Rattus norvegicus: one gene and its partners. The main gene of each other region encodes a partner of the protein of the gene in region 4 in a complex. Links are inferred from orthologs where the notes say so. Each region holds a gene or a part of one and is shown on either strand. Other genes may lie near its edges.

Evidence for each region.
Region 1: Lin54 (region 4) and Lin52 share a complex: the UniProt entries of both Homo sapiens proteins name them as parts of the DREAM complex. The link is inferred for Rattus norvegicus from reciprocal best matches to the Homo sapiens genes LIN54 and LIN52.
Region 2: Lin54 (region 4) and Rbl2 share a complex: the UniProt entries of both Homo sapiens proteins name them as parts of the DREAM complex. The link is inferred for Rattus norvegicus from reciprocal best matches to the Homo sapiens genes LIN54 and RBL2.
Region 3: Lin54 (region 4) and Tfdp1 share a complex: the UniProt entries of both Homo sapiens proteins name them as parts of the DREAM complex. The link is inferred for Rattus norvegicus from reciprocal best matches to the Homo sapiens genes LIN54 and TFDP1.
Region 5: Lin54 (region 4) and E2f4 share a complex: the UniProt entries of both Homo sapiens proteins name them as parts of the DREAM complex. The link is inferred for Rattus norvegicus from reciprocal best matches to the Homo sapiens genes LIN54 and E2F4.
Region 6: Lin54 (region 4) and Mybl2 share a complex: the UniProt entries of both Homo sapiens proteins name them as parts of the DREAM complex. The link is inferred for Rattus norvegicus from reciprocal best matches to the Homo sapiens genes LIN54 and MYBL2.
Region 7: Lin54 (region 4) and Mybl1 share a complex: the UniProt entries of both Homo sapiens proteins name them as parts of the DREAM complex. The link is inferred for Rattus norvegicus from reciprocal best matches to the Homo sapiens genes LIN54 and MYBL1.

What each region holds. Positions count from the first base shown.
Region 1 is NC_086024.1:109,828,635-109,833,195, reverse strand, and holds the start of Lin52 (protein lin-52 homolog), read right to left. Parts: upstream 2,948-4,561; 5' UTR 2,941-2,947; coding exon of another isoform or gene 2,929-2,940; coding exon 2,910-2,928; intron 1-2,909. Other genes in the region: Aldh6a1 (methylmalonate-semialdehyde/malonate-semialdehyde dehydrogenase [acylating], mitochondrial precursor), read left to right, coding at 3,515-3,565.
Region 2 is NC_086037.1:32,061,596-32,065,462, forward strand, and holds part of Rbl2 (retinoblastoma-like protein 2), read right to left. Parts: intron 3,136-3,867; coding exon 2,869-3,135; intron 2,712-2,868; coding exon 2,431-2,711; intron 2,219-2,430; coding exon 2,042-2,218; intron 1-2,041. UniProt on the Homo sapiens protein: Key regulator of entry into cell division. Directly involved in heterochromatin formation by maintaining overall chromatin structure and, in particular, that of constitutive heterochromatin by stabilizing histone methylation.
Region 3 is NC_086034.1:82,900,116-82,904,568, forward strand, and holds the start of Tfdp1 (transcription factor Dp-1), read right to left. Parts: upstream 3,052-4,453; 5' UTR 2,866-3,051; exon of another isoform or gene 2,243-2,865; intron 2,057-2,242; 5' UTR 1,994-2,056; coding exon 1,982-1,993; intron 1-1,981. UniProt on the Homo sapiens protein: Can stimulate E2F-dependent transcription.
Region 4 is NC_086032.1:9,456,797-9,460,663, reverse strand, and holds part of Lin54 (protein lin-54 homolog), read right to left. Parts: intron 1,949-3,867; coding exon 1,806-1,948; intron 1-1,805. UniProt on the Homo sapiens protein: Component of the DREAM complex, a multiprotein complex that can both act as a transcription activator or repressor depending on the context. In G0 phase, the complex binds to more than 800 promoters and is required for repression of E2F target genes.
Region 5 is NC_086037.1:50,087,100-50,089,914, reverse strand, and holds part of E2f4 (transcription factor E2F4), read right to left. Parts: intron 2,226-2,815; coding exon 2,007-2,225; intron 1-2,006. UniProt on the Homo sapiens protein: Transcription activator that binds DNA cooperatively with DP proteins through the E2 recognition site, 5'-TTTC[CG]CGC-3' found in the promoter region of a number of genes whose products are involved in cell cycle regulation or in DNA replication.
Region 6 is NC_086021.1:172,123,465-172,127,809, reverse strand, and holds the start of Mybl2 (myb-related protein B), read right to left. Parts: upstream 3,006-4,345; 5' UTR 2,812-3,005; coding exon 2,792-2,811; intron 1-2,791. UniProt on the Homo sapiens protein: Transcription factor involved in the regulation of cell survival, proliferation, and differentiation. Transactivates the expression of the CLU gene.
Region 7 is NC_086023.1:14,364,135-14,368,753, forward strand, and holds the start of Mybl1 (myb-related protein A), read left to right. Parts: upstream 1-1,633; 5' UTR 1,634-1,990; coding exon 1,991-2,010; intron 2,011-3,239; coding exon of another isoform or gene 3,240-3,308; intron 3,309-4,619. UniProt on the Homo sapiens protein: Transcription factor that specifically recognizes the sequence 5'-YAAC[GT]G-3'.

The DNA of each region.
Region 1 (4,561 bases), on a different chromosome or scaffold from region 4:
CAATGACAATTCACATCTCAAGGCTCAACCATTCTCCTGTCCAAGGAGCTACTTGATGTCTGTCCATTTACATGTAGGGAAAACCCCTTAATACTGCTGTTCAAACCCCACTTTCCCAACCCTCTCCATCTCAAGAAATTGCAATGTCACAAACCTCAGTTCTTTGAATTGTTTACTTTTCGTTAGTTTAGATTTGTGTAGGGTCTAGCATTCCATAAATTCTGCATCCACTGGCATTTACACAATGGCTGCCACCATTTCTACAGGCCCCACTTACTTCTCCCCAGATTACTCTGCTTGTTTAGTTTTGCCTCTGGGAGTCACTGTGTGAACTTTTTATACACATAAGCACATCTCCTGCCTTAGTCGAATTTAGTATCATCTCAGATAAAACCACCCTGGATTTGAAGAAGAGCTATATGCTCTCTTTGATTCTAGAGACCTCACACATCTAGCAAAACTGGCCTTGCACCACATCCTTCCAGACCCTACCTTTTAGAAGTCTTGTTCTCAGTAGACCTCCACAGACACCAAGATGAACCTCAATTTAAAAAAAACAAAACAAAACAAAACAAAAAAAACCGACAAAAATCCTACCAACACTTTTTTTTTTGCTAGTAAGAAAAGGATGTTTTAGGGGGAAAAAAAAAATCACACATGCTAGAGAATCTCTTTTATTATGAACACAGTTCCTTAAGGTATGTGAATGTGTTCAAAACTTAAAATGCAGTTAAACCTGAAACTTCGAAATCAAGTAAGAGGCCAGGCATAGTGGTACATTTTTTTTTCTTTTTTTTCTTTTTTTCAGAGCTGGGGACCGAACCCAGGGCCTTGCGCTTGCTAGGCAAGTGCCCTACCGAGTGGTACACTTTTAATCCCAGCATACTGGAAGCACAGGTAGGAAAGCAAGAAGATGGTGAGTCTGAAGCCAATCTGGGCCATACAGTCAGACCCTATCTCAAAAAAGGAAAGAAGGAAGAAAGGAGGGAGATCTGGTAACATTATTTTTAATATAATCTAGTCATGCTTTTTAGTACTAAAGACTGAACCTATTGCCTTGTTCATGATAAGCAAGCTCTCTACCACTGAACTACATCCCTACTTTTTATTTTTCATTTTTAGATTTATTTATGTGTATGACTGTTTGTCTGCACAGTATATATGTGGAGCACATGCATACCTGATGTCCATGGAGGTCAGAGTCACAGTTGTGAGTTGCCATGTAGATACTGGGAATAGAATCCAGGTCTTGGGGCTAGAGAGATATAGCTCAGTGGTTTAGAGCACTGGCTGCTCTTCCAGAGGTCCTGAGTTCAATTCCCAGCAACTACATGGTGGCTCACAACCATCTGTAATGGGAGCCCTCTTCTGGTGTGTCTGAGGACAGCTACGGTGTATAAAGTACTCATATACATTAGATAAATAAACCTTAAAAAAAAAAAAAAGAATCCAGGTCTTTTGCAAAAGCACCAGGTACTCTTAACCACTGAGAGCTATCTCTCCAGCCCCCTGTATCCTCACATTTTTAAAAAGATTTATTACCTATACACTGTTCTGCCTGCATGTACCCCCGCACACCAGAAGAGGGCACCAGATTTCATTACAGATGGTTGGGAGCCACCATGTGGTTACTGGAAATTGAACTCAGGACCTCTGAAAGAGCAGTCAGTGCTCTTAACCGCTGAGCCATCTCTCCAGCCACTCTTCCCTTACTTTTTAAAAGAAAACTTTTTATTTGAAGGTGGGTGGTGGTGGTTTGTGCCTTTAACTCTAGCATTTGGGAGGCAGAGATAGGAGGAGCTCTGAGTTCGAGGCCAGCTTTGTATAAAGAGCAAGTGCCAGGACTACACAGAGAAACCTTGTCTAGGGTTAAAAAATAAAATAAAACAAAACCCAACAACTGCCAACTAAACCCCAACTTTGTATTTGAGACACATTTTGCCTACAATTCATTCTGCAGCCTAGACAAGCCTGAAGCAACAATCCTCCTGCCTCAATCTACCAAGTAGCTAAAATTAGGGGTCACATACCAAGGCCAGTTTCACTTTTGGATGAACGTTAACTTATTTATGGCCAAATGCTTTACAGGCATTATTCTAGAACCTAGGATTAAACGTATGAAATAAGACAGACTTGGAATTTATAATTGGGTGTGGCCCGGGCAAAGTTAATAGACAAGGAATATACTGAGATACTGAGTAATGACAGAAGAGAATTCCAAATGCTAAAGCAGAACCGCGAGCAAAAGCATACGGGTATAACGAAAACACCTATTTACCACCTGAGACGAAATACAAGCAGAATTGTTCCTGCCCTCAGTCTAAGGAAACAACACATGAAGTAGAGGGAGTGATGGTTTAAGGGTTGAGAAGCGTGCGAAACTACATTAACAAGGCTAATTTTCATTCCCTCGGGAATCAGGGTAAGGAAACCAGGTCCCCGGTTCCCTGCTGCCAAGGCAACGGTCCTGAACTGAGGGGACAAGCATCCTTCTCTCCCGGCTTGGTACAGGGATGAACCCTAGACCTCATGTCAGTCACCACTCAAAGCTATAGAGCTTGAGAGACTCGTCTCAGCTCTACTGAGAACAGAACCAACACTCCAATGGGCCTGTTCAAAAAGAAAGTTCCCTCCCTTTCCCCTCAGCATCACCGATGGGCCGGAGCGACCTCTGTCCTTTTCCCGGATAGGGTCTCACCGGTTGGTGGCCTCCTTCACCTACCTAGTACACAGCGGGGAGACCTGGTACCAGGCACCTGCTAGCTGAAAAGCCGACACAGCCCAAAGAAGAGAAGTGGGAGAGAAGGAAGAGGGGCCCAAGAAAAAAAGCGTAAGCGTGAAGGCTGTGGAAGTTCCCAGAGGAGCAAATAATGAGACTACAGGCCAACAATTTCCAAGCCGGCTCTTACCGTCTGTGGGAGACGCCATCTTCCAGCCCATGTCACGTGACGTGGCCAACCGTCGGCGGGAAAGCGAGGATCCGCAAGCCACGCCCCTTACAGGGGTAACCTATCCTTAACTCACAGCCCGGTCTCGTTTCCCTATCTCATAGGGTAATATTTGCCTAGTCCCACCCTAGACAGCAGCCCTACCCGCGAGTGGTAGTTAAGGTGAAACTCAGGCAAAATTCTTCAAGGACTTTATTTACTTTCCTTAGCAAAGGGGCGGGACCTTGAGGGCCTACCTATAGCCAATCGGAGTTCTCGGTTAGGGGGCGTCTTCCCCGTGTGCTTAATATGCAGTACCAAGTCTAGGGGGCGTCTCCCTATCTCCGCCAACAAAAATAGGCTGAAGTCAGAGAAGAGGAAAACGCTTCCGCCTTTGACCAATCACCTATCCCCAAGGCTGGGAGTGATGGGTGGAGTCAAGAATCCTGACACATGATTGGTTATGAAAAGTGCCCCTTCCCTCCAATGGAGAGGCTAGGTTGTGTTCGGGGCGTAGCTTAGCGCTGTAGCTTCTAGGGAGGCACTGGCAGCGGAGGCGCGGGGAGCTGGGCAGAGTCTGGTGAGCCATGGCGGCGGCAGTGGCGGCAGCAGCAGCAGTGCGGTCCCGGATCCTGCAGGCGAGTGAGGGTGGCGACGAGGGACCATGACGTTAGAAATGGGTCCTTTCCGCCCGGTCTCTAAACCATGCTTCTGCTGGACAGATTTCTTGGCCCAGACCCTTCTTTGCAGACCCTTGTGTTCCACCAGACCCGTGTGTTTGAGCTGTCACTCCGTATTGCCTGGCCCGGGAATCCAGCCCCGGACGGTCACGCCTGGCCCACCCCACTTTTACTCCTGATCCTTTCCTTTTCTAGCTCTGACCCACCCACCTTCAGTCCAGCTCAGTCTTTGCTATCACCCGCGGGCTTGCTTTCTCTCATTGGTTCCTCCCACGGACTCCCTTTCACCTCTGTGCCAGCCACCTCTGGGCCCCAGAAACTCCTTTTGGTTACTGTTTATAGAATACTTTCCTTTGCCAGGAGCGTCCCTTCCCCCATCCAGCCTCTATGTGAGGTAAGAGGGGGTAGGAACATGGAACAAGGGTCAGAGAAGAAACTTTGAATCTCTAGACATGTACCCTGGCTTTTCACATCAAAGGCAGCCATTTGCTAGCGTTTACCAACTATTCTGGCCCTTAGTGTTTTTTTCCCAAGCTCTGGGCCAAGTTAAACTTTCTCAGCGAAGTTAAACTTTCGAGATAAATAAGGGCGTTATTGTTTTGCTAACGCTACTAAACATTCCCCAAACAGGTGGTAGAAGATGAGACCCTAGGAAGACACGTTCCCAGAGTCAGTTCTCAAGTGCCAACACACCCTCCACTCTTCTAGGCTACGATTTTAACCGCACAGAAAGAAGCCAGCCCAAGGGAAGTTGTAGAGCTACAGAAGCCTCAGGCCTGTGGTCCCGGCTTTGATTATAGCCTTTCCCATGTGTTTGCATCGTAGCACGGACTTAGAATCTGACACAAGATTTGCTCTATTCCCGGCAAGATTCTTAATCCAGCATTAAGCAACGATGTCTTTTATTCATCCAGCCTAGGAATGTCTCCTGTTGCACTTTTATATAAAATTTTA
Region 2 (3,867 bases), on a different chromosome or scaffold from region 4:
AGGACTGCATGTCCTTAACTAGGGGAGACATTGTCTTAAAAGATGCACACAGCCAACACTTACTCTAGAAGTGACGGGTGAACCCAACAGACCTATATAGGGACAATGAAGCTGAGTCCAACATATTACCTACAAAGAAAAGAGCAGGTTCCAGGGACTTCTTGGCTAATATCAAACATGACAGAAAATAAGAGGAAACATTTATCTTTTTAAAAGGCCAGATTACCCTAGGAGCAAAATCAGACAAAGCTGTGCAATAAAATTCCAATCAGCAGCATGTGAATAATCACAAAATTCCTCAACAAACAAGTAAACCAAACGTGCAATCCAAAATTGTTGCCATAAGCCAAGAGATTTGCAAAGGTGATCTGACGTGAAATCCAACTAATGTAGTATACGATGTCATTAGCATAGCAAACCCCACAATGAATACAGAAAAGGGCCTTTAATAATATCCAACACCTTTTTATCAAACAACAATAAGTAAAATCCTTCACCGGGTGAGAGCGGCCTACCTGAGGTCACTCACAGGTGGGGTGGAGAGAGATCTAATGCCATATTCCGATAGGGAAAGACTAGTTAATTATTTTCTCTGTAAGGCCAGGAAGCATACAAGGATTTCTGCTTTTTACATTGCACTGGATGTTCTAACCATGGCAATTAAGAAAGACAGGGAATTTGGACAAGTAATAGTATAATTATTAAGACCGCATTATCTGCCCATCAAAACAGTTGACACAAAATATGCTTAGAACCCAGTAAGAGTTTCAGGACTAGAGACAGCTGAGTGTAGAGTGCTTGTCTTGCATTTTAACAGCCCTAGGTTCAATCCCTGCACCACAAAAAACAACCAACTTAGCAAGGTTGTTGGATACTAAGTCAAGGCCCAGAATCCAACTGTTTTCTGAACTCTTGGAATGAGTACATCAAAAACGAAACAGCTACATGTACAATACCATCAAAACCTACAGGAAAAACAACAAGGGGGAGACTACGTGTTGAAAGTATGGGTCATTGTTAAAAACTGAAGACCTAAACAAATGTGAGAACACACCACGTTCCTGAAGGAAGACTGACCCCTACATGACTGAATTCTCCAAACTGATCTACAGATTTTCACGTGACTTTTATGACAGTGACAACTTGATTCTAAAACTTTTATGGAATTCCAAGGGACTCAGAATAACTAAAATAATCAAAAATAAAATAAAATTAGGACTCGTATTTTCCAGTTTCAAAATTTATAGAAAAGCAAGAGTCATTGAGAGTGTAAAGGTCTACGTATGATGGACAAAGATCAACATAGTCAAATAGACGGTCTTGACATAACCCATGTGTCCACTACATGACATAACCATGTGTCTGCTAACACAAACATGCCAAAACCATTCATTCAGTGGGGAGATGGGGCTTAAATAGTGGTGTGGTGGCCAGAAAGCAACACAAAAAGAGTGAAGCTGGACTTGGATCTCATACCACATCTAACGATGAGTCAGGAACTCTGGAATGCAGACTCTTCTAGAATCTTCTAGACAAGGTAAAGCCTCACGATACTGGATCTCAAATTTGGCAATGAATTCTCAGGGCAAAAACTCCCTCCCCCTCCAAACATATAGTAAATCTTTTTTAAGTACTAATGGGAAACTAGAGGAATTAAGAACTTTATATATTAAATAGGGATATAAACATGTGAACCATACTCTGAGAAGTAGCCTGGCAGTTCCTTTGTGTTTAAACATACAGTTCCCATATGATCCACAGATCCATTTCTAGGCATTTACTCTGAGGGAAACGGAAGCCTGTGTCTACACAAATTTCACCCACAATGTATACAACAGTGCTGTTCACAACTGTGAGGAACAACCCACATGTCTATTAATTGATGGATAAAAATTACTGCCCAATGTCTATAAGCTGGATTGTTCTAAAGCTCTGCTGACAGCACATATTTGGGATATGAGACTCGGTGAGTGGTTATCTAAAAATGTTCTAGGGAACAAAGGGGCATCATTGGCTTTCCAGTACTAAAAATAGTACTTACCTTTGCCATCACGTAAATGGCACACATTAACAACTGGTCCAGATGTCTGTCCATCATAAGTTCAGGACACTGGACTATAGAGAATTCAAAGCAGGTCCAAATTTTTTTCCTCAGTTCATCTGAAATATCTAGTTTTGTGCAAAGGTCTCGAAGGCGGACACCAGCTAAGTAGTAAACCTAACAGAGAGATAAGAATATTTCAAACCGGGGTTGGGGATTTAGCTCAGTGGTAGAGCGCTTGCATAGCAAGCACAAGGCCCTGGGTTTGGTCCTCAGCTCCGGAAAAAAAACAAAAAAAACAAAAACAAAAACAAAAAGAATATTTCAAACCTTGTTTAATGCTTACACTTCCTGAGCCTGTGCTCCAGTAAGGGTACATGAAAGGTTACCTTTCTAAAGAAAAGTGATAAGGAGCTAGTCTTCCGAGGCCTGATACTGCTGCTGGTTAACGGCTGGCCTTGGTTCTGCTGTTGTCCTCCAGGGGAAATTTGTTGAATGGCCACCGGACCGGGGACTTGCAAAGTTGTTCCTGTCACCTGTTGGGAACTCAGACTTCCAGCCAGCGCTTGAGCACTGAGGGGCTGGATAGAGCCAGTCACAGCCTGTGCCTGGCCCCCAACATTCACTTGGACTGGGAAGAATGTTATCCCTCCATTTTCGTTGGCAATACCTGCGGTTTATTACAAAGAAGAAAGAATGGTCGACATGAAGGTTTTATTTCCCCCCGCCCCCCGTCTTCCATCATTATCTTACATTGACACTTCCCAAACTTAGGTGACTTTCTGACAAATGCCAGAGAACTCAACCCCTAACCCTGCCTTCCTTACCTTGTACTGGAATGGTCACTGTTTGTCCATTGTTGGCTGTGACAGTGGCTGTTGCCATGGTGACCAAGGTCTGTCCAGGAACTGGTGTGACAGAAACAGTCTCCCCAGATACATTCTGCACAGGGACAGCATTGACTAGGGGTTGTGGGGGGATGCGCCCAGCCGTGCTTCCTTCAGAGGGACTGTCACTCTCAAATAGCCGCCTTCTAGTAGTACTGACTGTTGGGGAACTGTACCTGTCATACAATGTGGTTGGAGATGTCACACCTACGATCAAAAGAAATCAGACTATTTAACAAAGAGACAGTTCTGACTTCTAGCTAAGCTCTTGTTCAAAAGAAATTCAGTGTGTTTCAAATACTTCATAATTTTAAAAGCAAATAAAAAGTACAGAAGTCATGGTACACCCATATTCATCCTAGCAGGAATGTAACTGAAAGCGTTTCATGAAGGAAATGCTATGTCCCACAGTGCTCTCTTTCTGGTTTTCTTCCCATAAATGAAGCGAGGCCCTGTCCTCAACCGCCTTGTCCCTTGCTGACTTTGATGAAGAGGCCGGTTAAGGAATCACTTACTTTCCCCCATACTCAAGTCTTTTTTTTTTTTTTTTTGGTTCTTTTTTTTTTTTTTTTTTTGGAGCTGGGGACCGAACCCAGGGCCTTGTGCTTCCTAGGCTAGCGCTCTGCCACTGAGCCAAATCCCCAACCCCTCCATACTCAAGTCTTAACAAAGATGTTACCTAGCAGGAGACAGGATGACCTGCCTGCCATCCTGCGTCCTGTGGTTTCTCCTCAGCCTTCAGTGAATGTTCAGCCTTTTTCCGCAAGGGAAGATGACCAACCCCATATTCTTCAGCAAGATAGACATGTATGGTTTAGATTTAAAACTTAGTTTTAAACAGCTTTATTGAGACATGACTCATGTACCATACATTTCACCCAATGGCTTATATATTTTTAAATTGTTGCAAAATATAAAAAAAAAACATTATCACCATTA
Region 3 (4,453 bases), on a different chromosome or scaffold from region 4:
CAGGGTTCTCATGGCCCAACCTGCACACATGCTGTCCCCATGAACGGTCTACAGTACCACAGGAAAGACCCCGAGTACCTGCAGGCACAGACCACCCCTCTACCACTGCTCGTCTGCCAGCTCCTGCCTGCCCCATTCCATAGCCCACAGTCCACAGGGAGCCCAACATACTCGATGCTCTGCCTGGGCACCAGCAGGGGCAGAAAAGCCCCTAAGCTATTTGTCTTCTGTCTGCCCTTTCTGAGACCTAGAGCGTGACTTTTGCCCCTCTGTTCTCGCCAGCGTCATGGCCTTCCGAGCCCCATGTCGACAGTGCACTTTACAGCCAGAGTTCGTCTTAAGCATCAAGTGCTTACACAGCTCCAGTGGTGCCTCTTTCCTACCCTTCAGCACAGGTTACAAAGTCCCTTTCCAAACCCCAATACTGCATCCTACTGAAAAAGCACAGGGAAGGCCCAACCCTGCAACCCCCACTTCCAGCCAGAGAACAGGGGGAGCCGCTTCGCCTCTGCCCAGGTCTGTGCGCACTTGTGGAGGGACAAAGCAGCAGCGCTCTTACCCAGTCACAGCACTGGCCTCACCATACCACAATGGCTAACCCCAAACCAGCTGGCCTCACACTCTCCACTGGATAGGACATCCTGACCACTTGCCATCATGGTGTCTACCCACCCACCCACCCCTTCCCCAGGGACACAGCACACAGGAGTGCATGATGCAAAACTGAGGTGACAGGACTTGGAGCATGCTGACTCACTGAAGATCACTGAAGAAGATGCAATGATCCCCGAAACCACACCAGGCCATGGGGTCTCAACGAAGGCACGGGAGCCAGTGCCCTGCTTACACACCGTTTACCAGACCTAGCTACTTTGTGGGCACGCACTGAGCGGCACGTCTCTCCTTAGGCACACACGGGGGGAAGAGTCAGGACGTGGAGGCAGGCAAACAACAGACATAACGAAATCGAGCCCCACGCCACATACAGCTGTGACTTCAGGTGACCTACACACGGTCTCTCAGGGTGGAACTCGACTCCCAAGAGCAGGTCCAGTGCTTGATGACCATAAGACGGACACCGTCTGATCCAGGTGGGCCACTAGGCATGACTAAATCCTTGGGCCTCTAAGTCAGGACAAGACTCGGTACCTGCGCCACAGTTTCAGTGCACTTGGGTACAAGTCTAGCTGATGTGGTATTATCTGCCTGCATTTTCAGGGCTGCACAGAAAATTACACTCATCTAATAGTCAAAGGACAGTGAATGCTGAAACACTGGCACAGGCACGATCAGTGTTGGAGGGAGTTATAAAGTAATACTGCGAACATGTATGTGACCAAAATCACAGACTGTATTTTTGCCCCCTAAAAGCCTAACTGTCAGTACCCATTTCAAAAAAGAAATTTCAAATGCTCAGTAGCTTTGTAGTAAATACGAAGCTTAACCAACCAGCGTTTCCGTGTTTCATTAACCACCAAACGTCATCTTTCTGAGAGAAAAATGTGCCCAAACAAGTAGTTGGGATTCAACCCATCAAAGTGGAATTACGGTCTTACATACTACATAAAACAAGTTAAGTTTCATGCATAATGCATCGTAAGTTGCATGCTGACAGCTCTCCTTCGTGGAAACCCACTAGCAAAATACCCCCCTCACACGTTCATTTCAACTGGGAGATGCATTCAAACACAAATTTTGTATTCAAGCGGTTTAGATAGATTAAAGAAAAATCCAGACATCATCATCTTAACCACAAAGAAAAAAAAAAAAAAAAACGTGCCAGGCTTCAGATGACAAAGAACATTTGTGCGGAGGGGAGGCACCCACCTACTGACTGGCCACCCCTCACCTCCATCCCAGCTCCTGCCTGTAAAATGTCTGAGCAAACCACTGCCACGCAGGTATGGCCACTCTCAAATAAAGGGAGAGAACTGCAGCGAGCTATGCTAACATGTCTGCAGCATGCAGAACTCATACTTACATCTTTTGCCATGTTACCAGATCCAGGAAATCAAGGCTTTAACTGCGTACCCTCCACAGAAGAAACCGGACTTATCTGGTAAAAAGGAAGGGGACGAGTAATGAATGAGAATGAAAAAAAAAGAAGTTTAACGCACATCGCATTTCAAAGGAAACATCTCCCCACCAGCACGAGGCAGGCCTCCAGGCAGCAGGGGCCTTTCTTGCACAATCCCAACAGGAGAGCTAGCCAAGCAGGTCCCACACAGGGATTTTAAGTCACCTCTCCAAATGGAAATGCTCCCTGCGGGCACCAGCAGCTCCCACCCGCAGAGGGGCCAGACCCCGGCCCCTTGGCGGAGCGAGGCGCAGCCGTCAGGCTCACCCCACCTGGGCACGCGGGCCCCGCCTGACCACAGGCCCCACCGAGTCACAAGGCCCCCCACTTAGGCACACGACACTGCGTGGTTCTGCCCGGGCTGCAGCAGGCCCCGGGGCTGCCCAAGACCCCGAGGTGCCGCCGACCACTCTGACAGGTGGGCTCCCGGCCGCCCGGCCGCCCCACCTGTCACTAGGCCCGGCCACCAGCCTCGCGCGCTGGCGCGGACAGAGCCGGAGGGTGGCCAGGACCCCTGCCTGCCGCCCACGCCACGCCGCGTCGAGGCCGACTCCGGGCTGAGGCTGGGCGGCGGGCGGGATGCGACCGGACGCGGGAACCGGGCTGGGGCGGGAACGGGGCCGCGCGCCCAGCCCGCGCCCTCCCGCCGCGACCGGCCGGTGCCCCCGCCACACCTGGCTGGCCGGCGGGGCGCGCGGGGCGGACGACGGGGGCGCGGGGGCGCCGGCCCGGAGGTCCGGCCCTGGCGGTCCCTGCCCTGAGCCAGCGGCGCCGGGACGCGGGCTCACCCTGGGCCGAGCGTCGGGCCGGCGTGACGTGCGCGCGGCGCGGTGACGTGGGCGGCGGCGGGCCCGCTCCGCGCAGCGCGCCTGCGCGCCTTTTCGCGCCTTCGGCGCCCTCCTCCTCCTCCTCCTCCCGCCGCTCATCTCCCGCGCCTCTCGCCGGTGCTACCCGCCCTGGGATAGGGGAGGGACCTGTGCGCGCGTGCGCGTGTGGCGGCCGCCGACGCTGAAAAGCGCTGCGCGCGCCTCCATGTGCGCTCGGAGAGAGGCCACGTGTGTGCGCGCCTCTGTGTGTGTACACCAAGGGCCAACTGTATGCATGTCTGTGTGCATGCGCAGGGAGAAGAGGGCCACGTGTCTGCCTCTGTGTGTATGTGTGTGTGCCACGCGCGCCAACGGTGAAAAGTCTGTGGTGTGTGCCATACCTGCATGTACACATAGGGAAAGGATGATGTGTGCACACCTGTGTATATCCATAGTCTCGCTATACAGACACGTGTGTATTCATGGAGTATGAGTCGTGTGTGTGCATGCCTGGACGTATATATAGAAGAGAACCCTCTGTGCATACAAATATGGATACCTATGTTTAATGCCTGCACACTGAAAAGAATAGGTGAGTGTGTACACACAAGGGAAAAAAATGACCAGTTCTGAGCGTGCTTTAAAGTACCTGCATGTGCACCACAGGGGGAGGAGTCTTGTACATTTATACAGAACAAAGTAAAGGCTGTTAGGATGCATATTGGACAATGCAGAGACAAGATCCCCCACCTCTGCTCAACTATTGACCTCCACAGCCACAGGGCCTGAACTTGGGCAGTCAGAGGGAGCAGCCTGAAAGACAGGTGTGTGTGTGTGTGTGTGTGTGTGTGTGTGTGTGTGTGTGTGTATGTATGTGTAAGACTAAAGCTGGAGAGCCTGGGAGAAGAATAGACTGTGGCTTGCAAATCAGTCCAAGTGGTTCAGATAAAATGACCCAACTTTTCCCAAGCATATGGGACTAAAGACCAGAGCGCTGTTCAGTACTATCAGACAACTGTTAATGTGAGCGACCAAATTTTATTCTGAGGGGTGGAGAAGCCAAATTTGACTCCCAAACAGATCTTTCTCTATTACCTAGCTTCCTTGGTCAGACGAGTTAGCATTTGACTGAACAGTCCTCAAGCTGCTGTCCTGTTTAGAACTCTTCCTCAGCTGCTTTGAGGAAGCAACACTGTAACCACAGCAGCTTATTGCTAAAGCACAGCTACCGTTCCAGAAGGCAATACCCAAGGCATGAGTATCTCAATAGCTTGCACCAGACCTCTTACCATCACAAGCTTTAGTAAGCTCTAGTAACCATCTTCACCCAGGATGGGAGGGGGTGGGGGTGGGGTGGAGGGGGAAGCATCTGTAATGGCTGAGCAGAAAGGCTGTGATTGGTGCAAACATCCTTGCCACACCCCATTTCTGACTATATAAACAAGCTATTTGGCTAACTTTTTCAGTAAGCTGGGAGAGTCTTTCATCCAATAGGAACTCCTCTCAGGTGACGGTTTACAAGCTAGACTGGTAATATGAAGAGATAAACCACAGAGCATCAGCAGAGCAG
Region 4 (3,867 bases):
GTGATTACTTAGAAAATGTAATAGAAGAAGTCCGTCCTCCTGCAGCAACAACTGCAGGTCAAGTGGGCTGAGAGAGTAGACATCCTGATGTTCTACAATGGAAGCCGTAACATTACACTCAAAGACCAAGAAGAGAGTGAGGACAAGACAAGGTTGCCTAGACAGGGAGAGATGCTAGGAAAAGAAACAACACCCAAGAGATTCTCCAGCAGACACAGACGTGAACAGGAGGACTGGAGCCGAGCACAGGTATTGCTAGCCACATGGTGAGACATAATGCCAGGGTTAATGGGAGTAAACTAGATGGCTGGCTGAGACAGCCTTGAGTTCAAGGCTGGCTAGGCTATATAGAAAGACTCTGCAGACAAAACAGAAGAAGAGCGTTCTCTGTATAAATCTTATTAGTGAACACACACAAACGCACAGGAGCGTGCACACGCTGTCAGTCTGCCTGAGATAATTAGTGAACACACACAAACGCACAGGAGCGTGCACACGCTGTCAGTCTGCCTGAGATAATTAGTGAACACACACAAACGCACAGGAGCGTGCACACGCTGTCAGTCTGCCTGAGATAATTAGTGAACACACACAAACGCACAGGAGCGTGCACACGCTGTCAGTCTGCCTGAGATAATGAAACTGCACAGTTTCGAATGCTCCTTATCTTTCTTTCTTTCTTTTTTTCTTTTTTATTTTTTTTCGGAGTTGGGACCAAACCCAGGGCCTTGCGCTTGCTAGGCAAGTGCTCTAGCACTGAGCCAAGTCCCCAACCCCATTCCTTATCTTTCTATGATTCAGCCCCAGTGCTTGAAGTGCATGAGACGAGACACTGAGTCCTCTGTCACAGAAGGCACTGCCTATATGAACTACTACTTTGTATCTGGATGCCACCTGTAATAAGCTGTACGTCACATTTATATATTAGAGAGCAAACATTCGATGTTGGTTTATTTATAAATAGCTACAAATCAAGGAGGAAGTTGACAACAAAAGATAGTGTATTTCCAGACTCATATGGTGGCATCTAAAAAAAAAAAAATGATGTGACGTTTAAAATATACCTGGTTTCTGTGTTTTTCTACATTGGCACAATGACATTTGTAAGTCTTAGGGAAGTAAATTAGATACTTGCCACTTTAGAATGAAAACAAATGGTGTAAAGTTTTCAAATACTTAGAATAAAACGCAGTTAGGCTCAGATCCACTGATGGTACGCTTAGCACCCCTGACATCCTCTCCAGTCCTCAATGGTACCCAGCGGAGCCCCTTCCCCACAAAGTTACTTCAGCATTGACATCACAACTCACTGTAGCTGTTTATTATTACCCAAGTACTAGCTGAAGAGTAACTAACCACATCCTACCCTACACTAAAAACTTGTATTTATATCCATACGGGCCATAAAAGTCACCAATGACTACTCTGTTGCCAAGTGTTTAAGGCGAAATCTTCACTCGCCAAAACTCCTTGCTTGTGGCTGAAGGCAGAAGTCAGTGGTAGAGCTCCTGTCAAACCCCAGTACCAAACGGTGGAGGGATCCTGGACCTGCCTGCCTAGGACCACACTGGGGAGGCAGAGGCACGAGGATTTTAAGATTTTTTAGGTCCTGGGCCACCCAAGGCTACATAGTAGACTCAGTCCTAAACAAGCAAAAGGAATCTGATTAGAAAATCAATCCTGTATCCACTGAGAACCTATTGTCTGCTTGGGGATATGTGAAAATCAAAATCCTTGAAGTTACTTGTAAGACCACAGAAGTATTAACCACAATTTGGCATTTGGGGCTCATTTTCTTCTTTTACCTTATTTGGTGACTTCAAAGGTGAGATGGCTATCTTATTTGGTGTCTGTGTTGTAGAATTTAAAGTTGAGCCAATAACACCACTTTCTGATATTGTTATAGTCTTGGATGGAGTTCCAGGAGCAGACTGTGAAAGAACCCTGCCTGCAAATGAGAGGGAATACATCAGCTGATCAGTTACAGTACTAGTTAAAAACTTACACACAGAGCGATGATGTCTAGGTATGAGGGTCTTAGTTAGAGACATTGATGAGGCCCTAATGAACAACAGGAAGAAACAACATAAAACTTCTTAATAATGTCTGATTACTTAACAGTGCCCCTGAACCACAGTTAAGCCATCAGAGAGAGAGCTTGGGGCAACTCAGCAGAGAGAGAGAAAGCTTGGGGCAACTCAGGACTTGGGTCCCAAGTCATCTTTGTCTCTGTACCGGGACAACAGCTATCTTCCTATCTGAACTAAAATCATGAAGGGCAAAATTAAAACCCACAGTTCTGCAGGGAAGACAGCGTGGTTGGCAGAGTGCTTGCCTAGCATGCAGGGAACCAGGAGAACCTCATAAACGAGGTAAGATGGGACACCACTAGGGAGTAGAGACCTGAGGATCCAAGGACTTTCTCAGTAGCAGAGGAGTCAGCCAGGAATATGTAAGATGTAACTCAAAAAACAAAACCGAAAATCATACAGACACTTACAAAACAGCTATTAGGGCCAGAGAGATGGCTCAGGGGTTAAGAGCACATGCCATTCTTACAGAAAACCAGAGTCAGATCCCATGACCCACATCAGGAGGCTGCAACCCCTTGTAACTTTACCTCCAGGGGGTCTGATACCCTCTTCTGGACTCTGACACAAACAGATAACAGTATACAAACAATCAATATAATTTCAAACATTTAAAAACTATTTAAAAGTACTTTTTAAATGTTTCTTTAGGGGGCTGGAGGGATGGCTCATTGGTAAGAGCACTGACTGCTCTTCCAGAGGTCCTGAGTTCAAATCCCAGCAACCACATGGTGGCTCACAACCATCTGTAAAAAGATCTGATGCCCTTTTCTGGTGTGTCTGAAGACAGCTACAGTGTACTCACATGAAAGAAAAAGAAAGAAAGAAAGAAAGAAAGAAAGAAAGAAAGAAAGAAAGGAGGGACGGAGGGAGGGAGGGAGGGAGGGAAGAAGGGAGGGAGGGAGGGAGGGAAGACAGAGACAGAAATCAATCAATCCAGGGGTTTTGTTGTTGTTAAGGAATCTGCTGGATTTTCCTCCAGGGACCATCTGATTTCCTCCTCCTTACTATTTGTCATTTAGTGTGTTCTCAGGGTCTGGCTGCTTGCAGGCCAGGTGCACATAGAAACTAGAAGACAGCCTGGAGAAGTCAGGTCTCTCCTACTCTGTAAACTTAATACTGACAGGTCAAAGCCAAGAAATGAAACCAAGCAAAGAATATTTTAAGCAAGGATGTGCCAAGACCAAATCTATACTTTAGAGAATCAAGGTATACCTTGGTAAATCCATCCTCAATGAGAAAGCCCCAATTTAAAAAACAATCTTAACATATTTTGAAAAAGCATCAGCTGCACTAGGGAGCCTGTATCAGAGGACCACTGTGAGTTCAAAGCCAGCCTGGGCTATAGAATGGGCACCAGGCTAGTTAGGGCTATAGAGCAAGATCCTGACTCCCACCCTCCTCTGCAAACTAACACATTGAACATTTTGTCTGCAATTTCAAGGCAAAGCTGGGACTAACTTGCAACATGCTATAAATGATCAAGGACTGAAGAACAGCACCCGAGACAGCTTTGGATGTTGTTGTTTGATATTAATGTAAATTGCTACCAGAGTCTGAGACACAGACAACCTTTCTACTAACTGAACTATGTTCCTAACAGAGCCTTTGAAATCTAAATATCTGAAATGATATAGTTACTGCTAATGGTACACTTTAAAGTATATAATAAAAAGGAACTGGGTAACATTGAGGACATTAAAGAGTCTGGTAAACGTACTATAGCTTAAACTCTGTTATTATCTGATAACAATTACTTGATAACATGACAATTTCC
Region 5 (2,815 bases), on a different chromosome or scaffold from region 4:
AACCCACCAGGGAAGATGTGCCTTCTGGTGCAATAGTGGCATAACTTAGGAGGGTAACCAACCCCTTTACTTGGCTTTGAGATCAGCCCCACAGGTATAATTCATGCCTGATACTGTAAACCTTGCAAAAGTCCATAGCTAGAGAGATCGTTGATCCTAGGGGAGAACTTAGTACTGTTGCCTTGCTAATTAATATGCTTATCAAACTGCCTCCTAAATTTTCATGCTTACATGTTGCTTAGAGAAAATGGCAGGAGTCAATGCAGAAATTCCTGATAAACTGCTGAGATTAGGTTGAGTGCTCAGCCCAAGGTTCAGGAAATATAACTAAAGAGGGTATACAGAAATATTGTACAGTGGCCTGTGGGTTCTGATCCCAGGCCTCCTACTATGGCAGTCATGGGTAGAACTGAAGAAGAGAGATCACCAAGAGGCCAGTTTGTTGAGGAAGCATAAGTAAAGTCTCACAACAGGCCATTCTGATGTTCTGCTTCCTGAGTCAGAACTCACCAGACATTCCAATCTGTTTCCTTTTTACAGTGTTTTGACGCAGCCATTATAGATGGGGAGGTGGCAAACTTGGCTGTTTGTTTTGGTTCTTTGATTTAAATGACAACATAGAAAAAAAAATTGTACAAACCATAGGATGGGAAGAGTGTTGTGAAATACTGTCTTTTGGATACAACATGGCCATTGTACTGTGAACTCACAAGCATCTATGGTATCTATACAAGACCAAGCCATCCAACTAGCTGGAAAAGAGGCAGTCACTTTTCTTTGGATCTGTGCATACATGGAGTGCTAATTAGAATGAAGAGAACATGAAAATGGAAGAGAAGGTACTAGGAGGGCAAAGGGGGTCATTTTGTAAATGGTCAAAAAGAGCTGATTGTGGCATACATTCTTTAATCCCACACGGCAGGAGGCAGAGGCCAGCCTCGTCTACAGAGTAAGTTCTGGGACAGCTACATAGAAACCCGGTCTTAAAAAGGACAAAACAAAAAACAAAAACAAAAAAAAAAACACCCCCACATTGTATAGATATCTGAAATTACCAGTAGATAAATAAGATATAGATAAAATGTTCTAAAAGATTACTATAAATCTAAAATTAAAATGGTGTATAGTTTTTGGTGTGCTGAAGATGTAAGAGGGATGAGAAGGTACTAGGAGGGCAAAGAGGGTCATTTTGTAAATGGTCAAAATATAGAGAGCTGGCTGTGGCACGCATCTTTTAATCCCATACAGACTTCACAAACTTTACCTAACCCATGTAAGGTGGGTAGCAGAACTGGGATGATACAGAGGTATCTCAAGCCTGTTGGTGATTAGAGCTAGCTGATAAGAGTCCACAAAGAACTTGAAAGGCAAACTGGAAGCAGGATGGTTAAGTTCAGTTGAGGTGTCCACCAGATATGCAAGTCGTCTATGGCAGGTGTATAGGAGACTGGGTAAAAGATCTAGACTATGTAGAGGCCGAAACTCAAAATCAGCTCCCTAGAGCTGAGGCCCACCCCAGATATAAAATGGTAAGTACCAATGTTTAAGGAAGTATCAGATGCCAGTGAGGCAGAAAAGCCAAGAGCTGACAGTGAAGACAGAGGAAAGAGCATCAGAAGAGACCAAGAAAGCACCAGGCCTAGACTCTTAGAAACCTGCTGGGCCAGGTACTACACCAAGAACAGCACAGCTACAGCCCTGTGGTGGAGGATTAGCTGACAGACACGGGTGACCAAGGATTACTTTTTAAAGGCATTCATACGTAGAAAGGAAAACAGAATGGTGAGGTGAGTACGAAGAGCAGCAAATCTCAATTAGTGAGGCTTAGTGATGCTCCAAGTGGTGGCAGGAGGGGGGATGAAGTCCCAGAAACGGGCAAGAGGCACAGGCACTGACCTGGAGATTAGGCATCCTTGTCTGGCTGGCAGAGAGCAGAGGTTAGCAGGAAAGGAACTGCCAGCTCCAAGACTCTCCTTGCTGGCCCCCACCCCTCAGTAAGTACTCACCGCCTGTGGGGTCTGCCTTGATGGGCTCAAAGGAGGTAGAAGGGTTGGGTCCAGATGAACTGCTGCTGCTGCTGCTGCTGCTGCTACTGCTGCTGCTGCTGCTGCTACTATCCAGTAGTGCAGAGGACTGCAGAGGTCGAGTGTCCAGTGCTGTCAGGCCCAGTGGGAGTGAACTGAGTTCACCACTGCCCTTGTTCTCAGTTCCAGGGCTACCACTCACTGCAACCACATCCCCAAACCCAAACACAGAGTCAGGAAATAGACCCTACACCTGCCATAGGCTAGATCCTATGACCAGGATGACCACAGTGCTGGTAGCCAAATCCAAGGAGACTTAGTCACCACTAGTTACCAAGAAGCACTAGAAAACATCATTAAAGATAGAGCACATGTCCTGGAGGAGGGAGACTCATGGGGTTGCCAGGATCCATCAGACACTGTCCAATCTGGGATAAACTACCCTACTAATGCTGCCTATATAGTCAAAGCTTCCTTGTTAGAAAGGGCATATTCAGGCAAGTGAGATCCTCGTGAATTAAGACACTCATGGACAAACCTGACCTGAGTTCAAATCCCAGAAATATGAAAGGAGAGAACCAATTCTTTCAAGTTGTCATCTGATCACCTCTGACCTCTACATGCATCCTGTAGCATGTGTCCCCCTCACAAATAAATGAACAGAGTAATTTAAAGGGGCACATTCATTGTAACTCCAAGGAAAGCTAAGTGGGGACCCCAGGAACTTCTAATTCTCAGTATAGCATGCCATGACACAGTTTCTTGTAGGCTCCAAAAAATAAAAAAATAAT
Region 6 (4,345 bases), on a different chromosome or scaffold from region 4:
CCTCAATAACTTTTTCCATTCTTTTGATCTGGATTAAAGGCATATTCCACCTCACCAAGCCGAACTTCATTCATTCCTGCCTGTCCCTTTCCAATCCTTGCCTGTACACGGGCACAACTAACGGAAAACAAAGACCTCAGAATACAATGATTTGACGTCTGGAAGCTTCAAAGAACGAACATGGAAGTTTTTGTTCTTTTTTGTTTGTTTGTTTTTATTTGTTTCTCAAGACAGTTTCTCTGTGTAGCCCTAGCTATCCTGGAACTCATTCGGCAGACTCAAGAGATCTGCCTGCCTCTGTCTCCCTGCTGGGATTACCTAAAGGCAGGGTCTACTACGGCCTGGCTGACATGGAGCCTTTTGACTGCTGTCCTATTACCTAGTTTAATGGTTTTGAGAAAGGAGATCATACTATGAAGTTCTAGGAATGCTCGTTAGGGACTAGAGAGCTGTCTCTGTCGAGGAACACACAGCTCTTGACAAGGATCCAAATTTAACCTCTAACCCCCTTTCCCACAATTCCCACCTCTACAAGGATCCAGGGACTCTGGCCTCTGTGGGCACCTACACCCAAGTGCACATAGCCACACACAAGTACATAACTAAAGAAGAAAGGAAAACAACCAGTTATTCCCAGAACTCGTTTAATCCTTCCCCGGGGCCTGCACTGGGTCACCTCTAACAAACACTAAAGGTGAAGTCAGTCATGTAACTGGGAAAAGAGGAGGTTTCCAAACAAGCAAGACAGGCCACACTTTGTGCCCCAAAGTGTGCTGCTGGTGTCTGCACACCCCTCCCCTTTCTTCCCTCACACTCCTCACAGCCTCTCCAGTCACCCCTACACACCCAAAGCACTTTGGAAAGCCAGGCCCTGCCCTCAGTTCCAACCTCGGGTCTTGACATCACCCACAAAGGTCAGCTCCACCTTCATTCACATCCTGGAATTTGGCACAGAAAAGGCCTAAAGAAATATTTGCCCAGGGAAGGAGTGGATTTGTGAATGAATGAATCCTTGCAAAGATACCGCCTACTAAACAATTCTAGAAACCCTAACCAAAATGAAAAGACGTTCCTAGACCTAGCAACGCAGTTTTGTTCAGTCATGTCTGACCCGACCCATGCACTGCCTACCACTCTAAAGTCCTAACAATTGAGTCTGCTTCTCCAAAACCCAGCACAAGGCCCTGATTCTATTAGAGCTTGGCCAATGTCGCAGGAAAAAAAAAAAAATCTGTGTAGCAGAGCTCTGAAGCCTCAGGGCCCTGTAATGGTGACACTATTTTGGGGGGGGGGGGGGGGGCGGTTCTTTGAGACACAGCTTCTCTATGTAGTCTGGAACTCCATCTGTAAACCAACCATGCTGCTCCTCGAACTCAGATTCGCCTGTCTGAGTGCTGGAATTAAAGGTGTGTGTGGCCACCCGGCAGGGTCACACTATTAAACAGATGGGAGTATCCATCATTCACATGCATTCTGGCATTCTCAAGGGCTCCATTTAACAGATGTGAAAAGTGAGGCCAACAAAGATTATGCCACATCAAACTCCACACTTTTACACCCTAACCTCCCTGGTAACCATAGCATGAAAAAGCAGAGGCCTGTGTGCTGTTTAAAGAAAAGTCACATTTTTGTATATACACATACCATTTCTCATGCCCTTGTACGTTCTGGGCTATGCTCCAGGGAAAGGTGAGTCAGAGGCCAAGAGGGAAATGGGCCACTGGGGTACAGGGAGTTACACCATGTGGCAGAGAAAGGCTACGTGAGGATGCAGGGACACTGAGCCCGTGCTTCACAAAAGGGTCCCTCCAGTAAACCCCGGCGCTCTCGGAGTAGTACTTCCAGACGCTCTTCCTGGGCACTGAACTGCCCTAGAAACTGGGGCATGGGGAACCACACTGATCAGCGCCCACGGACCCAACCAATACCCGCCCCAGGCCCGAGGAACTCTGAAAGTAAGCAAGCAGGCATCTCTGTTCCTTATCCTCAACCGAAGCTTGATTCGGCCATCTGAAGACTCGAGTAAGGTGTTCTCAATTGGAGAGTCCCAAAGAGAACACAGCGGAACCCTATTATCCCACTCCTTAGAAAGCCCCGCGATTAGGCCCCAGATACACAGATGTACCAAAGGTCCAGACTTGACTCAGCCACCGAACCTCTAGGGAACTAGGAGGGAAACGTAGTTCCTGCCTTTGGCCCAGCGGTTGCTGACAGACCAGTCTCGTTGCACACCATTAGTCTTTACTCATCCCCGGTTGCCCAAAACTAGCGTGGGACAGGAAGAGGAATTCTGAAACCAAACCGAACCGGCCGCCGAATCCCCAAAGAGACAACGAGTCCCCAGCCTCACATCCCGCGGAGGGCCCAGGGGCTTTGTGCTTCCCGGAATGCTAACAAGAAAAGAACGCCAGCAAAGTCGAGCCACTCTTGAACGACAAGTGTCTCCCAGACTTCTGCCTTCCACTCGCTGCGACAAGGGGAGACATTCTCCCTACCCAGTAATGGGCCTCCAGCTGACACCGCGGGCAACAGCTTTCCTTCCCCACCCAGCAATTAGGCGGGAGACGATGGACCTCACCCAGGGCCGGGACCGGGTCTAGAGGGGGAACCCGCGCTTTCAGGCTCCCGGGCCCAGGAGGCCCGGGAACCGATCGAGGGGTCCCTAGAGCTTCTAACGTGGCGCGCGCCCCTGCACCCGGCGGCGCGGGGTGCATTTCTCCCGGGATCCCCATCTCACGCTTGCTGACCCAAGGAGAAGGGCGAAAACCCCAGCGCGCCCGCAGCCTCTCACCAGCGCGTCCGCCGAGACATCCCCCCGGCCCGGACCCCGCCGCGCCCTTACGCCCGCCGGCCGAGCCCGGAGCGGGAGCCGGGCCGGGGTCAGGACTCAGGCTGCACCGGCCGCTCCGGGCCCCAGGCGGTGCTCTGAGGCGTCAGCGTGTCTGCAGGTCTTGTCGCACGTTCCCAGGAACTGCAGCTGCCTAGGGAGCGCACTGAACCACTTTCCTATCTCCCGCCAAGTGCGTCGGCGCCGCCCGGCCCTGGCGCGCGAGCGCGGGGGCGGAGCTCGCGGGGGCGGAGCTCACGGAAGGGGCCAGGCGTACTAGAGACGAGAGGCGGAGCCGGCGCGCCAGGGCCCTAGGAGGAGCCTGGGAGGGGCGGAGCCCATGGAGGGGAGGAGGGGAGTAGTTTACCGGAGGGCTGATACCGAAAGTGCTAGTCAAGCCGGCAGATGCTCCAGCTGCGGTTGGGAATCTACTACGTCCAGATACACCTACCTTGGGATTCAATGAGGCGCGGGGACCGGCTCTGTGTGGATCTTAGATAGTCCCCCAGGAACACACATAGCAAAGACTGAAAGAACTGAATGGGAGAAACTTCCCGCCCAAATTGTCATTGCTTAGACTGTCCCCAGAGGCCCCATGCTCCCTTTGACTAGGTTTGCATCTTTTCCTTTGCAACTCTTGCTTCTTCCGCGGCCTCAGAGGGACCCAGCTCAAAATCCCAACATTCCTCTCACCAAACTTAAACCTCTCCTCTTGGGTTAAACTTGTTACTCCGTTATTGTAAAGGTCTTCCAGATCACCACACCGAGCCCAGAGAGACGAAATTTGGCCTCCCAGCTTTTTGTTTGGGTCGTTATTTGGACCAGTAACTCCCCACATCTCCCCTCATTGGGGTCTCTTGTCCATCTTGCTTTGTGCATTTCCCTAGCTGAACTGTGAGCATCCTGGGACTCCAGCAGCCCCGGGTTCAATTTCTAATGGCTAAGACAAGCTCTGATGGCAAGGGCTGTCCACTTTAGGCTGTCATTTACTATCTAAATACTGAGAGTCATCTTACTGGGACTTCCTGGAAGGGCCCCAGCCAAATGTCCTTTAGGCTCAGACCTCAGATCTCTTTAGAAAAACTGCTGGCCACCTTTAGACAGTACAATTCTGAAAACTTCATTCACTACAGCAGAATGAAGACTTAAAAGCTACCAGTTTCCACCAGGCATAATTCAAGGCTTTCCCCCACCTCTCTCCCTTCAAAGAAATTCATGTGGACATTGGCTCTGCACTGCTAGTGGGCTTACAGCCGTATTTCCCAGGGGTTGATTCCTAGCCCACCTTTCCCCGGGTCCATTATCTCAAACTATCAAACTTCTCCATGCCCGTTTCCTCATCTACAAAAACAGTTCATAAAAATCTTTGATCATCTTAAGAATCCAGTGAGTTATATGCTAAGTATTACCTGGTAGCAGATGGAGAAACTGAGTCACTGACTTCCCCCAAACTGTAATTCTAGAGGTAAAGAAAGGAAAGAATAGGGCTGGAGAGATGGCTCAGAGTTTAAGAGCACT
Region 7 (4,619 bases), on a different chromosome or scaffold from region 4:
TTAATTTCCTACTTCATATTTCTTTTAAGATTTAAATAATTTTGTATTTTTTAGATTTCTTAAACATAAATTATACAGTAGCATACAAAAGTAATATTATCTTTGGGAGAATGTTTCCTTATATAAAACATTGAGAATAAATTTTACTTAAAAATCTGACTCATTTACTTTCAACTTTTAAAAAGGTAGTTTGGTTGTACAAAGCTGATTATAACCTAAGCATATCATAGTTTTGCTCCCTGTTAGAATAAAAGTGGAATAATGTATACCCATTTGAAGACTAGGAGGAGCATTCTATCATCTAGCCCTGGGGAAGCTGAGGTAGATCATGAAGTAAGTCCAGTGAGTTCGAGGTCAGACTGGGGTAACATAACAACACCTGTCTCAAAATATTAATATCTAAATTAGTCTCTCTGTAGAAGTTACTATGGAACCCAGAAAATAATTTAGAAGCGCTTTTCCTTCCCAAAATCTATCTTGAGAAAAAGGAAGTTCTTTTAAAAAAGAGAGCGTGTGTCTACCTGATTGTAACGAATTGCAAGCTCATCTTGATTTGTATCTGCACCTGTATCTGTCTCTGATTTGCAAAAGACGATGCGTACAGTTTCAAAATAGCAAAAATGTCAGTTTGTTATAATATTAATCTGTGGTTCAGCATTCTATGCAGTAGAGCATGGTGCCTTGCAAATTTGGGCTCCTCGTCGTGTCTAATCATTACTGTAGTTAATAATCTCCTTGCTTGCTTCTTTAACCGTGTAATTCCAATTGTTAAGAGAAGTTGCAACTGTAAGAAGCTCCTTCCCCTACGCAAGATTCCAGTTATCCCAGCATTGAGGCGCACCTCCCCGACTCTGGGCTCCTCCGCCACGCAGAGCATCCCGCCCCCTTTGTAGATGGAGTACGAGGTTGAGCTTCTTGAGCACTACCAACCCATTCCCGTTCCACGCAAGCCTCTAGATAACAACGTCACCCTTGTCACACTGTTATTCATCTTTGGGGAAAACAAGGGACTTGGCCAATTTCCTTGTCATTTCTGCGTAGAACTAACTCACACATGCTTAAAAAAATAACGGCCTTGGCTAGAAGGTTAAGTAGAAGACCGCGCCCCTAAGTGGCGAGGCTCACGGCGCGCGAACCAGCACCCGCGAGGTCTTCCCCTGCCCAGAACCCGGACTGTCCCCGCCCCAGAGGCACGCTCCACACTCCTCCCGAGGTGGCAGCGGCTGGGTCGGCCCGGCTCTTCTTCCGGCTCACTCCCCGGAGCGCAGAAACTCGCCTTCCCAGCAACCTCCGCGCGCCCCACTGCCGTGCGGCTGGCTCACACAGCGTTCCGGGTCCTGTCACCTCGGCCCGTGAACCGGCCTCGCGCCTTCGCCTCCCCACCCCCTGGCTCCGCGGCGCTCCCGGACTCCCGCGAGTTCCAGTCCTGGCTTCTAGCCCCGCCGACCCCGCCCTCCGCCGCGCGCGCGCTCGCCGCCCCGCCCCCGCCCCCCTGCGCGCGGCCGCCCCAGCCAATGAGGTTCGGGGCCGCGTGCGCAGATTCAAACGGCGGCTCTTGAGGGAGGCTGGGCGCGAGATTCGGCGGTGCGGACAAAACCCTGCAGGAGGCTGCGAGTGCTGCAGAGCTGCTCGCTGCGGGGAGAGGGCGGGGGTCGGCGCCCGTGACGGAGCCGCGCAGGGCCGGCAGCTCCAAGGCGGAGGCGGAGGCGGCGGGAGGGGCGGGCGGAGGGCGGGAGCACGGCTCCTGACATGTCCAGGGCATCCCTGGCCGGGCCGGGCCGCGGCTAGGAGCAGCGGGTCTTGGTCCGCCCCTCTGTCCCTCAGTCCCGCCTGGCCCTGACCTGTCGGGGCCTGCGTTCCGCTCTCTCGGCCACCTGAGGGAAGGAGCGGGGTAAGCGGCGGGTGGGTCTCGGAGAGGGCGCACTCGCCCCAGGCTGGAGGAGGCTGACCCGCGTCCCCGCCCAGCCCGCGCCTATGCGGTACTTGAAGGATGGCGAAGAGGTCGCGCAGGTGGGTGCCATCCCCTCGGCCCCGGCCTAGCGGCCCTGTCTCGGCTCTTGCTCTCTGTCCTTTCCTGCTGGTCCCCATTCAGGCCCTCTCGGGCCTGGGCATAGGTTTTTCTATTCGGTGTCCCACACCCGATTCGGCCGCGCTGGCCGGAGCGCATCCATCATTATTAGACTCCATCATTATTAGACTGCTGTATGGAGGACTCTAACAAATGCTCAGGTTGCTGCTTTGACGGACTCTCCCACAGCTCACGCCCAGACTCCTAACTTCTCACAGCCACTTACAGGGAGGTTTCTTGCCAAGTAAGTTTGTGCACTGCCAGGGGATATGCCACGCCAGGGGAAGTAGTTGTGTTTGCCTGGATGATTTGAAGTGGGGTTTTCTCCTCTGACTTACGGTGCCAAATCAAAATCCTCCTTTGGATCTCCATGACAAACAAACCTGGGCGGACATTTCTGTGAAATCTTGAGAAGGGAACCTGTTAAATCTCCCATGTACACACTGCTGTTCTGAGATTTTTTCCCCCTTATTATCTTATGAGGACATTGTTACGTTGTTACCATCGAGTAAACTTGATCCTAAACCAATGTGTTTGAGTTACTTTGTATCTCAAGTATTCATGTTTGATTCTGATTGTATCTGTGTTGTATTAAGTAGGACACAATGTTATTGTTGTTGTTGAAAGATTTGCTTTTGTTGAAAGATGTGTATGCACCTAACTTTTATTTTATGCTATTCTAATAGCTACTCCTAAATTGTGTAGCATAATCGGATGACAAAAATCTACTGTCTGGATTTTCAGTTTTCTCAGTAATAAGGAAACCTGAAAAGCATTTGGCAGAATTTCCAAATACTTTCATTTATCTAGAAACATAGCCTCAAAATCTTAAGAGTTTTATTTCCTGAGCTGAAATTTAGTACTGGGAGTCATCCAATGCAGATTTTGATTTAAAATAACTATGCATAGAATACATGGCTTTATTAATTTATTAAGCATCTTCTGTATGTAGGTTGGTTCTGCAGCTATCAACATAAATTTAGTTATGACATAATTACTTTATGTGTAGTGGCTGCAGAATAGATTGAACATTGAAGTGGAAAAAGTGTGCATGTGTGCACACAGGCACCCTATCTTGGTCCTGTTATCATTTTGGATTAGGTAGTTGTAGGGTTTTTTAGCAGCACCTTTGTCTCTACTCAGTAGAAGACAGTAGCCCTTTTTCCTACAGTCGGGACAACCAAAACTGTCTACAGACGGTGGCACATATCTTTGGGGGGATGGAAACAGGACCACACAGGTAAGAAACTGCTGATCTACACACAACTTCAAAGACCTAACATTCCCATCTTCAGAAAACATGCACATTTAAAAATAAGATTGCTGGAATACTGCTTTAGGCTTTTGGAATTTTGAAGTCTAACAATGCTTTTAAATGTTGCAAAGTAACAAGTGAATGCACAGTTAGCTACTTAGAATCATTGTTCATCTCACTTGAAACTTGGCTAATGCTGTCATCATCATTTAGTTAAAAGCTATTGCTAGAGACTGATATATGAATGTCAGATTCTCTCAGGTTTTGTTTTTTTTGCCTTTTCATGTCACAGTTGATCTTGTTTCCTAATAGTAGGCTAAGAAATGATTTAACAATTGCTTATAGTAAGTTATTTTATTAACAGTACTGTGAGTTTGACTGCTAAACATTAATTATACTGTTGACTTTTATTTCTTGCCAGATGTGTAAGTTAATTGAGGTAATATAGAATGGTGTAAAAAGTTACATGTCTAGAATATTGTGCTGCAGGGAAACTACATTTCTATGGGAGTGTATAGATAGAGGGTGTGGGGAGAGATCACCATTTCTGGTCTGTTTTTTTGGGTTCTCTTCAGTGAGTTCCATGTGCTGTTAAACTTCTTGTATATTTAAATATGATTCACGTATTAGAAGATAATAGAATGTGAAATGTTTGAGGGTGAAATACCTTATTAAATGGGCTCTCTTTGAGAGTCTTAGTGTATACAAGTTCAATATATAATAGAGAAACAAAGATCTCAGCGTACAAACACTAATGTGGATGCAATGTTTTGCATAAGGATATAGGCACAAATATAGTAGACCTTTTTTCTATTATCTGAGAAAAAACAAAACATCCTAAGAGCAGAAAATGCTTACCCTAAATAGGAAACAACTGACGATGTTGGTTCTTTTTAGTTTTTTAATAGCTGTAGAGTTTGTCACTAAGATTTGCATGTAGAAAAAGGTTATATAGTATTGTGACTTAAAATAGTTTTAGAATTTAATAGGGGTTTTAATAAATGATACAATTTACAGCTAATTCCTATATTAAGATATCTATTAATACCATGAATTTGATTTTTAAATATTTTATGTAAAAATAGGTATAGTGTTATTTCATACTTAAACTTTTAAAAAATCTTTTTCTGGTATGTGTGTGCTCATTCATGAATGCATGTGTGCCTGCATACATGCAGTTTTACCAGGGTATGAAAGCTGAAAGGACAGTTATCTGGAATTAGTTCTCTCCTGCCACGGTTGTCCTGAGGATCAAACCCAGGTTAACAGGCTTGGCAGCAAACACCTGCTGAGTCA